4 linked regions of the Schizosaccharomyces pombe genome follow. The protein of the gene in region 4 binds, or shares a complex with, the protein of the main gene of each other region. Each region holds a gene or a part of one and is shown on either strand. Other genes may lie near its edges. The genes, in order: sft1, use1, bos1 and sec20.

The links.
Region 1: sec20 (region 4) and sft1 share a complex: the UniProt entries of both Schizosaccharomyces pombe proteins name them as parts of the SNARE complex.
Region 2: sec20 (region 4) and use1 share a complex: the UniProt entries of both Schizosaccharomyces pombe proteins name them as parts of the SNARE complex.
Region 3: sec20 (region 4) and bos1 share a complex: the UniProt entries of both Schizosaccharomyces pombe proteins name them as parts of the SNARE complex.

The regions. Positions count from the first base shown.
Region 1 is NC_003424.3:413,730-416,578, forward strand, and holds sft1 (SNARE protein Sft1), read right to left. Parts: upstream 1,111-2,849; 5' UTR 1,072-1,110; coding exon 955-1,071; intron 901-954; coding exon 742-900; 3' UTR 516-741; downstream 1-515. Other genes in the region: rod1 (arrestin/PY protein 1), read left to right, coding at 1-145; bun107 (WD repeat-containing protein), read left to right, coding at 1,677-1,956, 2,034-2,849. UniProt on the Schizosaccharomyces pombe protein: Vesicle SNARE required for retrograde transport within the Golgi complex.
Region 2 is NC_003424.3:3,599,279-3,602,580, reverse strand, and holds use1 (SNARE protein Use1), read left to right. Parts: upstream 1-1,616; 5' UTR 1,617-1,725; coding exon 1,726-2,394; 3' UTR 2,395-2,752; downstream 2,753-3,302. Other genes in the region: FYVE tethering component Pep7, read right to left, coding at 1-702; rps2401 (40S ribosomal protein eS24), read right to left, coding at 3,005-3,302. UniProt on the Schizosaccharomyces pombe protein: SNARE required for targeting and fusion of Golgi-derived retrograde transport vesicles with the ER.
Region 3 is NC_003424.3:1,923,191-1,927,097, forward strand, and holds bos1 (SNARE protein Bos1), read left to right. Parts: upstream 1-1,890; 5' UTR 1,891-1,911; coding exon 1,912-1,935; intron 1,936-1,976; exon of another isoform or gene 1,977-1,986; coding exon 1,987-2,083; exon of another isoform or gene 2,084-2,155; coding exon 2,156-2,742; 3' UTR 2,743-3,349; downstream 3,350-3,907. Other genes in the region: tos4 (transcription factor), read left to right, coding at 3-1,573; metallopeptidase Oma1, read left to right, coding at 3,549-3,907. UniProt on the Schizosaccharomyces pombe protein: SNARE required for targeting and fusion of ER-derived transport vesicles with the Golgi complex.
Region 4 is NC_003424.3:4,103,196-4,106,605, forward strand, and holds sec20 (SNARE protein Sec20), read right to left. Parts: upstream 1,524-3,410; 5' UTR 1,428-1,523; coding exon 747-1,427; 3' UTR 538-746; downstream 1-537. Other genes in the region: RNA polymerase II CTD phosphatase Rtr1, read right to left, coding at 1,921-2,514. UniProt on the Schizosaccharomyces pombe protein: SNARE required for targeting and fusion of Golgi-derived retrograde transport vesicles with the ER.

The sequences.
Region 1 (2,849 bases), 3.7 Mb from region 4:
TCATCTTTCTCAAGCCTCCAATCCAAATGGATCGTCTTCTGCCCCGCATAGGCCCACATCAGCTCGTGTAGGAAGTCACCGAAACGCACTAGACGCTTTAAGACGGGCGCGTATGCTTCCATCTGGATTTTCAAGAAGAAATTGAAGTTTTGAGCACTATTTTTAAATTTTTGCGCAAACATCGGAAAAAGAGTATTCATTACCTGTACTTCCGTACATTTGAATGCTGTGTTCTTAAAAAAGCCTAAATCAATACAAACATCTCATGGTCTGCATGCACAAAGCTTGAACGTGAAGCTAAGGTGTTAAAATTTTTATTATTATTTATTTTTGTGCCCTTCCTTTTGATCTTTTTTTTTTTTTTTTTGCCGGTTGAAGGTGAATGAATACTTAGTTTGTGGCACAATGTCATGATTCTATTCAATTAGTACTGCGTCTCTTTGCTTAAAACTCTTTCCTAAAAGTGAGGAATATCAAGCTTAATATGGATATACAGTCATAATTAAATTTTTTATTATTTTTACTTTTATGGTGGACTTATTGAAATTTCGAGGAAGGAGTAGTATTTCGTTAAGAATATTTCATGTAATTCTGCGCTTATATTTTCAAATTTATCTTCAGAATATTCATCGATAAATTTATTGCCTATAAGAATTCAAAGCTTGTACATTTTATAATTTTGAAGCAGGAGGTTATGTCATTATATCCGTTCCTTTATGTAGCATTCGCTTTCATGTCGTGTTAAAAAAACCATTTGGATGCATAGTAGATTATTAGTATACTCCCTACGATTGCCAGCACCATTGTCATGATTCTTCGTCGTCCGGCACTTCGAACCACACGGAAGAAATTTTCGGTGGATTTTTTAACAGAATTTGAAAGTCCTGAAAAGCTTTCAGTCTATAATAATACAGGTTAGGTAAAAACTCAAATTTTTTTTTTTAAATTACATACAGCCCGATCAATTCGAGTATAGTCATTGGCACGGGAATAAATATCGTAGGTTACGTTTTTCAAAGAAGAAACCTGCCCAGACAGAGTTTCCAAACGCCGCTCATTTTGATCATTCATTATAGAAATAACTTTTACAAAAATGAATGTACATACGTTAGCATCTTTCTATATCACTTGGAGTACTACCAAAATTTAACGACATTTAGGACGTGGTGATAAATCCTTTAACGAATCTCCTAACTTGATTCTATTTTCGTCGAGCTCAAACATAATGTTATCTACAATTCTTAGCATCAGCCGCCTAATTATTGCTTTATCAAATGCCAATATCGATCGGACTACTTATTAGTAGGTAAATGGTTTGGAAGTTCATCGTTTCCATCCATTTTTAATGAGCAGTAGGATCCGTTCTTTAACATCTGAGTTATTTGAGGAATTGCTATTCATCGCTAAGTCAAAACATATAATATATTTGTATAGGTACTCGCTACCAAAATATTTGGATCCATTACTGTTTCCTGTTTCCAAGTAAAAGGGTTTATTTATCCGCTGCGTTTTAGACTCAGGACACACTATCTTTCTGCAATACTTTTGAACCTGAATTCATTCAATAAATTGAATTCGACATCATATAATATAAATTTTTATTTTTTACGTTTGAATTGGATTTTTTGTTTATAATTGCATTGTTTTAAGAGATTAATAATTCATTTATTGTTCTCATGAGTGTTCGGAAACGGTACAAGGTTACTTATGTTCTTGATTCCTGTAACGATCAACTAGGGCACCGTTTGGATGCTAATTGTCTAGTGCTAGGTCGGTACTTTTCAGAACAAGGGTCAGCACCAGTTACTAGAGCACTTTACAGTGGTGGCCGAGATGGACAGCTTTTCGGTTGGGACATCGGGTATGATTATGGTAAAGCTTCCCAGCCCTTAGCCAAAATCCAGGCTCATTCTGCTTGGGTAAATGATATAGCTTTAACACATGATTCCGAAGGAGGTAAGCCTTTGAAAAATTTAATTATCTCTGGAGAATAGCGGTAGCCTTATAGAAATTGACGTTCTAACATTTATTAGTGATATCTTGTTCTTCTGATTCAACGGTGAAACTCTGGAAGCCACATGTCTTGAATGCTTCTTGTTTATCAACAATTGGCGAGCATACCGACTACGTAAAGCGCGTAAGCATTCCCAAATATTCCAAGAGTCCGTTAGTCGCTTCGGGTGGGTTGGATAAAAGGATAATTGTATGGGACTACAACGTAGGTCAAGAAGTTATGCGATTTGAACAGTTACCTGACTGTTCTCTTGTTGTTGGTCCAAGATCTGGTGTTTACTCGCTGGCAGCGAATAACAACATAATTGCTAACGGCGGACTACAAAAAGACATTCAGTTATGGGATTGTGTTTCCAAGAAAAGGATTACAGATTTAGTCGGTCATACTGACAATGTTCGAGATATTCTAATTAGTGATGATGGCAGAACAATTCTCACAGCCTCTTCAGACGCTACAATAAAGCTTTGGTCTCTAAGGGCGCAAAAATGTTTATTCTCTTTCATAGCTCATTCAGACAGTGTATGGGCATTATATTCTGAGCACCCAGATTTAAAAGTATTTTATGCTGGTGATCGCTCAGGCTTGATTACTCGTACTGATATAAGAAACCAGCCTAACAACCAAAGCTGTACTGCAATATGCAAGCAGGATGCTCCTGTCTCTGACATTGTTGCTCGTCAATCTTTCATATGGAGTACTAGTCGTGATGGCTCCATTCTTCGTTGGAAGGATGAGCCCCTCTTTAATCAGGACGTGGGAGCAGCATTATCTAAGCATACCTCATCTCATCTTTCTGTATCATCGGACTGTCCCTCGAGACATTCTTCTGACATAC
Region 2 (3,302 bases), 500 kb from region 4:
TCTTAAAAACTCTATTCTTCTTTTATCAGCTAAAGGTTTTCGAAAAGTTTCGAATGTTTGAAAACGTGAGCGAATTAAACCATTTGAATCATTATACCCAGGACGTCCTTCATAACATTCTCGACAAACACGACACCAAAATCCATTTTCAGAGTCGTAGGTAGCATGAATACTGAGTTTGATCTGGTACATTGAGTGAAAGTTGCAGAAGATATAACCGCATTTACGACAATGAATATGACCATTGATGAAATTTAAAAGCTTATCACACATCGGGTCATGGCAGACCATGTCAGGAACCTCTGGTTGCCAGTGATTTTTGACAACCAAGGAATCTGTGAGCTTAGTTGCTTCAAGGCCGACAGCACCTGATGAATCCCCATTCTGTTCATATGGTTCCATTCTCCAAAGACGTTGAGCGGCTTTCATTTGCAGAGCTGAAGCACCATTTAAAGTCCTTGTTAGCCATGAATTAATGGAATCTTGTCGCTTGTGGATTTTTTCATTATCATTGAAATGAGTAACATCGAGATGATCATTTAATGCTGACAAATTTGGTAATTCCAGCCCACAAATTGGGCATTCAGTGGCTTTAACGATATTTGAAGAATCACTTTGAGCACTAGTAGAAAGATTAGTCCCGGAATGATTGCTCAAATTGGAAGAAATTCGGACTCCAATACGTCTTTTACCATTTTGCATAGTAATCCCTCTGAACTTGATTTTTAGACGAGAATTTCAGGCAATTGAAGCCTTTTCAGTGGCTATATAATTAAAAGTAGCTAAAGTTTATAAATTATTATTACACAGAGCTTGCTCTTGCAAAGGTGCTGAATTCGCCTGACGGTAAGAATTATCACTGTTAGAAGAGTAGACAACTGGTTAACCTGGTGGAATGCTAAACACAGAATAAACAAACATTAGAAATTTAATAAATTAAGTTGTTTAAAATAAAATTATGAGAGATTCTAAAGAAATCACAAATCCTCTGATCAAATAATTAAAGAGTTAGACTGCAATTTTGTTTAATTTTCAATTCAGGAAAACATCCGGTCTGAATAAATTGAAATAACGACAAATGGAGTTACAAGGTATGTAGTCTTTAGCAGTGCTTATTTAAATAAGAAGAAAGATCGCTTTATCAAAAATCTAACACGAAGGCAGCCTGGTCGTCTTTGCGTACTATAAGTGTTATTTCAAAATTTGCCAATGCAATGGCAAGGAATGCAACTCAAGATCCTTGCGTTTTTAAAGATTCTGTCAAGTTTATTTACAACATATATCCTCCATGACTTGAAATATATAGTAAGGTAAATACGCTAATGTTTATTGACACCTTTAAGTTAAGGCATTACGGTTCATGCAATTCTTTTAACATAAGGATTATTAAGCTTCTCATACTTCATTAGATTGAGATTAAAATAGCATTTTATAGTCAAGGCACTTGGTACAAAAATACGTATTCAAAGAGAAATACGGTTTTAATTAAATGTTAGTACATCCTTATAAATGAATAATATATAAAATACTATAATCGTCTACTCTGAAACCCAAAATACTCATACAAGGTGAAAATTAGTATGTGTATAAGATGACATGCACCTGATAACCTACTCAACTCAAACTACTTATAAAATATCAGGAACCCCAGTTTAAAGCGCTTTACATAACTTTCTTTATAGGAGAGAGATATTCTTATGAAATGCTCACTCCATAGGCTTTAAAATGAGTAAAGATTTGATCAGTAGGTTGGAGCGACAATTCAAGTTGAAACGTGATGAGTTTCAAGACCCATTGGAACTTTTAAAATTTGAAAAGAATCTTGATTATGCAAGGAAATTATTATGGGAAGAAGGAAAATGCCAACTTGACAAAGTTGCTGAACCTCAAGGGCTTTCGAAGAGAATCATGGATTTACAGGGTAGGATTTATGATTTAAATGTTACCATGGAAAAAAAGCTGAAAATTGAAGAGAAAAAGATAAAAAGTAAACAAGAGAAGGAGATCGCGCATGCTCTTCAGAGTATTCAAGAAAGGGAGCTTAGAGAGCGACAACAGATGTCGAATGTCGAAGCTTCCAATGCCCAATTGCTCACAAACCAGCGTTCAATGCAAACTGAGATATCTGAGTCACTTTTGCATTTGGCATCTGTTCTAAAAGAAAACGCTTTATCTTTCACAAATGCTCTAGTAACTGATAATCAAGTGGTAGAGCGTACAGGAAGCTTACTCGACAAGAATGCCCACAGTCTGAGACATGCCAACCACGGTGTTCAAAGCTACTCTAAGTCAAAAAGGCTGTCTTTTTGGCTACAGTTAGGAATGATCATTGCTGTAGTTGTTTCTTTTATCGTGATGATCTTTATCCTACAGTTTACCAAAAATCAAAATTAATTATTTTATTTTCGTAAAGAATTCTCGGACTGCTTCCTTTTGTTGATAAATTTTTTTCCCCTTAAGTTATCGCAGTGGTAACAGTACACCCGTTTCTTTTTAATATACATTTTGATACACAACCATTATTGTTGTTTCAAGTTGTTTTCTTACTCGAACGTATTCATGTTTTTTTTGTATTTGAGATCAATGCGTAGATGATATAAGTAAATTGAATAACCAAAGCATACGCAATTTACCATTGTTTTATTTCATTTAACCTTTTTCCAACAGCTGAGTCAATATTAGCCCATTCCTTTATCAATTGACACTGCCCTCAACTCTTATGTTTTTAGTAAATAAGAAACAACATCATTACATTACAAAACTATTAAACTATCATAAAATACAACATATACCGCATGTTCAAAAATTATTATATTAGAGATCAAACTCTAGTTATTGAAGATTATTTACTTCATTCACTACTGTTCACACGAAAGCTGAACAATATTATTTTAGGCAACACGTAATTAAATCCGTTCGAATACAACAATGCATTTCCATCAAGTGAATACATCTCATTACTTTATGAAAATTATTTTTCTGAACCAAGAAAAAATAAGATTGCCTAGTCTTGTTGCTTAGACTTGCGCTTGGCAAGACGCTTGCCAGTACCAAAGACCTTCTTGCCTCTGTTCTTACGTTGCTTGCGTTGTTGACGAGCAACCTTTTGGATAGGCTCGGCATGTCCAACACGGACAAGACGATAATGGGGCTCAAACTTCTTCATGGCCTCGACGTCGTCGTAAATCAATGCAAAACCAGTGGTTCTTCCACCACCATAATGGGTACGAAGACCAAATGCCTGGACAGCACTTGCATCAGTCTTGTACATTTGACCCAATTTTTCACGAAGATCGTTTTTG
Region 3 (3,907 bases), 2.2 Mb from region 4:
AGGCCAATTCGTCCTCACGCCTGAGCCATCTAGTAATACATTCTATGCCCCCTCTTCGCCTGCTTCTGCAGTGAGAAGAGAGCCACTTTCTCCAATGTCTTTTGTACGGATGCGTTCACATCGCGTTAATAAAATTGGCCGTTCTAGTCAACAATGTGACCATGTCCTATCCACGGTTGATAAAGCAATTTCTCGTGTACATGCTATTGTAACTTGTACACAAGACCGCATGATTATTGAGTGCGTGGGTTGGAATGGGATGATTGTGTCTGATAAAATGAGGAAGTCAGTATTCCACATGAAGAAAAATGATCGGATTGTCCTGGTAAGACCGAATTCGGATGCTTGTCCTGTACTGGATGTATTCGGTTACCGAGTTCTTCTTGGTTGGCCAAGTGATTCTGAAGATGAATGGGAAGGAAATCTTAATGCTAAAAATTATGAAGAAAATCGTGAACCTATGTCTCCTTCACCTCAAGAAGCTTTACCTTTGATGCCTTCATCACCTCCTTCTCAAGACTATCAAAACGATCAGAATCATCTCATATTGTACACTAATTCCGAATCCATTCCTAAGCTAAACTTGCGTAGTAACGAATTAGTATATCCTCCTCCATCCAAAGATTTGTTACAAAAGCTTCTTGCCTTAGAAAAAGATGGTCAGGTGGAAAAGTCTGATTGTTCCAAAAATACACAATTAAAACCATCTTTTCTCCCAAAGAACACCGACGATTTACTCAATGGCACTGATGATAATAACATCGTTTTAAGAGAAGTTAAGGTTTCTTTTGAGAACGAAAAAATCGAGAGTGATGATCTTGATAAAAATGAGGAAATTAGTGAAGGTGAAGAATACACTCCAATTGAAGAGTCAAAAGAGCCTATAACAGTAAGACGGGATAGCGTTATACAAATTGATGAATCGTCCGCTGGACTAACGGACGTTATCTCTGAACTTAATTTTACAAACCATAATGATGACTCAAAGAATTCTAATATTACAACTTCAAATGATTCCCCAGTGAACGAAGTTGAGCCAATGGCTCCTGAATTGAGTTCAGCAGTTGTGGAAAAGAAGGAACCTGAAGACTACGAAAGCATCTCTGCTGTTGATGAGAACACTAATGACAGTAATGAATCCCTCCCTTCTAGCCATGATTACTCAGAATCAACAAAAGAAAATTCAGCTCCCGATAGCTTATTATTAGGATTGGTTTTAGATGAATTGGTTTTCTCAACAACTTCAACTACTCCCCTTCCTGCACTTTCGCATTTATTTCCTTCCAATATGCCACTTCAATTAATTCAGGACAAGCTTCGAGACTTGGCAGCCAAGCACCCCTACTTTGAAGAGGTTAAACGTTACGGAACTGATGCTAATGGTGATCCATTGTGGAGTGAATGGTTTTATAACCCAGATGTGGATGATGATTTAGAACGGCGTATGAGATATGCTCCATTAATGAGACCAGTAAGATCCTCACGTCGTGTACATAAACAATATTATTGGAAAAAGCCCCGAGCTCGTCCACGTTCATCGGGACATTCTTCTAGGCGTCGTCGTCTTTCATAACGAATTGAATGCTGGCATCAGACACGACCCCTATAAAATTTCGCTTTTTGATATTGTATACATTTCGTTATTACGAATGGAATTATTAGATTTTTCAAATGGGGTTCAACAAAATACAATTGAACTCAATAGTGATTTACATTTAATATGAATTTTGGGTAAAAAAACGCATTCTTTTTTATAAAACTGTATTTACAATGTATAGAAATAAATTGCTACTTTAAGCTATTTACAATTTTGATATAGCATTCAAGTAACGTGTTACTTGCTACATGTGTTGTCATATCAAAGACAAGAAAATAAATTACCCTCATATTGGAACCAACTACGGCAAGAGAATGAGCAATACTCTTTATAATCACGTATGTAACTTCCTAAAGTTTTAGAAAACATATTAATTTGTATTTCGCTAGTGTACAAAGTTGTTTCAGTCCATTCAGCGAAGCCTCGATGAGTTAGAACGTGGTGTTCAAGATGAGAGCAACACTATATCGTTAGCTGGAATTCAGGGTATGTGTAGATGAATAATTATGGTACTTATTTTAACCAAGTTATTCATGAGACTAATGCAAATCAATTTAGGCCAGATCTCAGCTTCATTTCTGTCATTATCCAGATCCATTGATGACTACGATAGTATGGTCCAAAGGGAATTGGTTCCCGCTAAAAAAAAAAAAGCTACAATACGAATCCAAGAGTTCCGTCAAAAGCATGTTCAGTTGTTGGAAAAATTTGATGAGTTGAAGGCACACGTTCGTGACATTGCGCAAGCAAAAAATAGAAAAGAATTGTTAGGGAGGCGTGGGTATGTGAACTCTCTTGATAGTCCCTACGGAAATTCAACAACGGATGCAGAAATTGTGGAAGGGCCATCAGATCTAAGCAGACAAGATGGTTTATTAAAGGAGCATGATTTCCTTGGTCGTGCAGAATCTCAAGTTGACGAATTTCTAGAACGTGGGCGGATGATTCTTGGTGATTTAGTTGAGCAGGGAAGCGTTTTAAAAGCTACTAAGACAAAAGTACTGAATGCCGCCAATACCCTTGGCATTACTCGCCATACTCTATCTTTAATCAACCGTAGGTCCAAACAAGACAAGATTATATTTTATTGTGGAGCATTCCTTGTATTTGTCCTCTTTTACTTGATTTACAGGTGGTTACGCTAACATGTTCATGTCGTTGGCTTGTTTAAATTTACTATTCTTATATGATATGGGGCAGTACAACAAAATCAAAGATGATTAAAAAATTTGAAGAGCTTCTTGAGAGTTAAATTTTTTATTAATTATTTTTAAAAATAAGCTATACATTTTGCACTTGTTAGCTTCTCCTTGCAAGCTATTACTGTTGTGTTTTTTTCCTTCTGTTTATGACATTCCACTAATCACGCACTTATGGGCCTTTTAAATCTAATTCTTTCTTTGTGTTTTTTTAAATCCTTAGTTTGTCAATCAATTAATACCGTTGCGGTAATGCTTGACTAAAACACCTTCTCTTCAGGCGGTTGCTTTGAAATGCTTCAATTGTGATTCCATTTCATTTTATTTTAATATCCAAGAGAAAATTAACTTACCAATGGGCAATAGTTTTTTTTCCTTAGTTTCTTCGTAATTTGCTCAGTTAAGCTATGTATTAAAAATAATAAAATAGACTAAAACTAATTGTCATCACGAACCGTTAGTTGACGACTGTTTTACACTATTTTTATTGTCAACCGTTTTCAATGCAACTTAAGAATTTGTCGAAAGCCAATTGAAATTTGTATTCATATATATTAATTTTGTACCATATATATTGTAATAACTGTATTGGATGAAGTTAACTTTTACTAAAGAAACTCGAGACACGTTTGTTAAAATTAATATCGTTAGCGATTATCCTTTCGTATACCATAATACACCAAACTATCCTCCATTCTCATCTTTTTAAATATCTAGCGCCAATATTTAGTAATTCCTATAAGAATTATTTAATGTTTTTAAATAAGTATATATCAAACTATTCCAGAACCAGGGCTGTGAGCTGCGCTCCAGTTCTATCATACAAGAAATGTAGTTATCGAAATTTCAATGGTTTATTACAGGCAAGATTTCAAAGCAACAACTTGAGTTGGTCCAATAGAAACAGAGTGGTATATAAATCATTTCAGCCCAATCCTAGAGACAAGAGGTTTCAATGGATTTTTGGTGCTCTTATTGCAGGAGGAGGTGTATACTATTTTACACATTTGGAATACGTTCCTATAAGTAACCGTCGAAGGTTTAATGATGTTTCTTTAGATTTTGAAAAGCGAATGGCACAAGACGCCTACAAAGAAGTAATGTCTGAGTA
Region 4 (3,410 bases):
AAGACAAGTTGTTGTGAGACATCGCGGGGCATGTGCCTTAATTTATATCGTTATGCTTACGTGCTTGTAAACACTATATTACGCATTTGAAGTAGAAAGCACACAAACAAATAGAACCAGGACACTGAATAATTAGAACGTTTGGTTAATGAATTTTTACATAAGCAGTTATTAGTTTTAAGTTTATAGGTTTAATGGAGTTTGCTATCCGATCTCAGATTCTAGGCGTTCGTACCGGACCCTAGAAAATATGCGACAGACTTAACAAGATGCGTTTCCCAATTAACAAGCGCTCTAGTTTTTATTAGGAATTCAAAGAATACTGCTCTTTTTGTACTGTGGTCAAACAAATGGTTTTGACAATCAAAGAGGCATATACAATAAGAATGATTTGAAATGCAGCTGCATGCCGACTGTCGCATATTTCGTGAGCAAGAACTCATTTTGTTTACGGAATGGCGTTTCCCATTGAGTTACAAATACTATAGCATTACTATCATCAGCAAACTTCTACGCCATTCAACGTTTTTATTTAAAGAGAACAACACGTAAATAAAAACCAATCGTATAAGATAAACATTAAAACATAAGAACTACTTTACAAAGACTTTTTCAAAATAAAATTGAGAAAAAGGGCGAAAAAATAATTTCTCGTATAGATACTTCGAGCTCGATGGGAACGAGCCTCAAAAAGCCTTGCTTTTAATCTCGCCTTTCTTTTTAATAAACAATGCATTTTCAAAATCTCACCGAAGAAACCAAAGAAACATAGAAAGAATAGGCCAGACAATTCGCTTGAAGAGAAGATAGACAACCACAAATATGAAGAACCCAAATCCCGAGACGACTAAAAAGTAATCACTTCGATCACTTAATTTGAGCGATTTGATTATCCGTTTACTTGTATATAAAACGTCCTCTACACCAAAATATTTCTCTTGTAGAGTTTCTAACAAGTTGGTACTCGAAGACAACTCCATTGCATTTTCGGCACTCATATCCACTGCCTGTACCATTTGTGCGTGAATATCACGCATAGCCGCCGTGACCTGACTGGCGCTTGTAAGATAAATATCATCAGATTGCCACGAACCAGAGTTATCCATTGAACGCTTTTGAAGAGAACCATCACTTGGTGAGGTAATTTCCTCTTCATCTACAATCTTACCTATTTCTTGTGCGATAGGCAACCATGGTTCACCACTAGCAATCTTATTCCGATATCTTCTGTTCAACCGAATGTATTCTTGTACAGCCTTTTCATATCGTAGAACTGAGTCTAGCTGAATGGATGAGTATTCAAGCTCTACCCTTGCAGTTTCCCATATTTTTCTAAACTCTCGAAAATGCCTTTTAATAACTTCAACGCTTTCTGACTGTTGTAATTCAACAACTTTTTCTTCTAGTGCATTCAGAACGTCGGCCATCGAATGCTATGTTCTCTGCTTTATTGAACAAGTTAAAGGAGAAATAGTATTATGAGATGCAAGAGGAAAGAACGATAAAGGTAAATGATGATGAGTGGGAAACGAATGATGGATGCACTAACAATATAGCACAGCTGAAGGTGAATATAAGACTATACATCGAAAGGTTCGGTATATAGAATAAGGAAAAGAAATCAAATGCGGAATTATAAATAACGAGAAATAAAGATGCTAAGAGAGAGAAAGAGACAATAAAGATAGAAGGCAATAAGGTGAAATAAATTAGAAAGTGTAAATGGTAAAGGGAATATTGTATCGATCTTTAATAAAAAGTCGAAAACCACAGAAATGTTACTATGCACGCAACTGTAGAATGAAGCAACCTTTCATTCTAGTTCAAACGACGCTAGACACAAGTCGGTGTCTTTTTTGTTCAAAAATATTATACATATTCTGGGGTGAAAAGAAAAAATTTGATAAACTTCCATTTGCTTTATGATTGTTCATTAGCCAAAGGATGTTCAACGATTTCACCAACTTTTGCCTTATAACCCACAGGCAACGCTTGCAGGAGTAAGCGTACATCTTCAATTTTTTTGTTTTCCAACTCTTTACGAAATGCTTCATCTTGACGAGGATCGAGATGTTGTTTCATAGCTTCGCGAGCATCTTCACGTATCCATAATGGTTCGTCGCTCAACTCAACCATATATTGACAACTTTTTAGAAAGCAATCCTTCGAGCAATAATAGTTGAGTCCACCGTAGACCTTCATTCCTGAATCTTCTAATTTATACCTAGTTTGCTGCTTAGGTTCATAAGGACAAACGGGATAACCGCACAGATTGACGAGTTTACGCTCCTTCACCACTTGATCGTAATCACTTTTTCGAAGGTATTTACGAGCTTCCTCTAAAGTTTCTAGGGAAACCGGATCAACCAGCTTTTCAATCCATTCGAGGGCAAAAAAATCATACTGAAGTCGACTGCGTGCTTCATCTATAAGACTCTTCGACCACGTGATCAATTGCTTTTCTTGAGTGCTTTGAGCATTTTTCGGCTTTTTGAGAATTGATTTTTTGTTCATATCTGAATTGGATATATTGGAGTCAGCTGGAAAACAGAAGGTCTTAAAAATCGCTATTAGGCAGATATGAGTCAGTCAAGCATTGGAAGGAGGAATGAGCATCGTAAAAATACTTTAGCGCCGTGCAATTTTTGTTAAAGAGTTCTTGAGTTACGCAATTCATTTACAGCGAACTAAGACAGTGCGTTGGCCTTGGTACTAAAAATTTTGATAGAAATTACCCTCTCAGTTGAGTGTGGACAAAGGAAAAAAAATAAAGAAAAGCATGCGTTGCACCAATCATGTAAAGAAAGTTTTGTAGGTCTCTTTAAGAAAATCATTTTACCGTTAAAAATAATAATGATAAATTTACATCCACCCTATTCATATCTTCCACTAGTAAATAACTGGTCCTTAATCTTAATGATTCATATCCATATCCATACCATACCCCACACCCACACAGTAATCGTAAATATAGCAAACCAACGATGCTGTGGCTTCGTTTTAGGATTGCTAGTGTATCCTTATGTAAAATAGGAAACCAGATCCAATTGCGTAAATATTATTATAACGTTAAATAACAAAAACCAATCAACATTGATAAGCAAAATAATACCCAATAATCTTACAGTGCATTACGCTACCTTTGGCTAGTCGAACGAATCACTGTCAACAAGATGTTACGATTGGAAGGGAATTCCCCAGATCCTTTCCCCACAATGTTCATTCATTGAAAATCGTCTCACATGTAGTCAGTCGCTTCTTCACGTGCGATATTATCATTTGGGTGTTTATTGCTGTTAAGATTGACCAAACTTCTTTGTCTGCACAAATCGCGTGCCCTTTAGGAACCAAAATGACAGTGTACTGGCTTAGATATCCTAATAGAAGAGATTAACGATGACGTTCAGCTT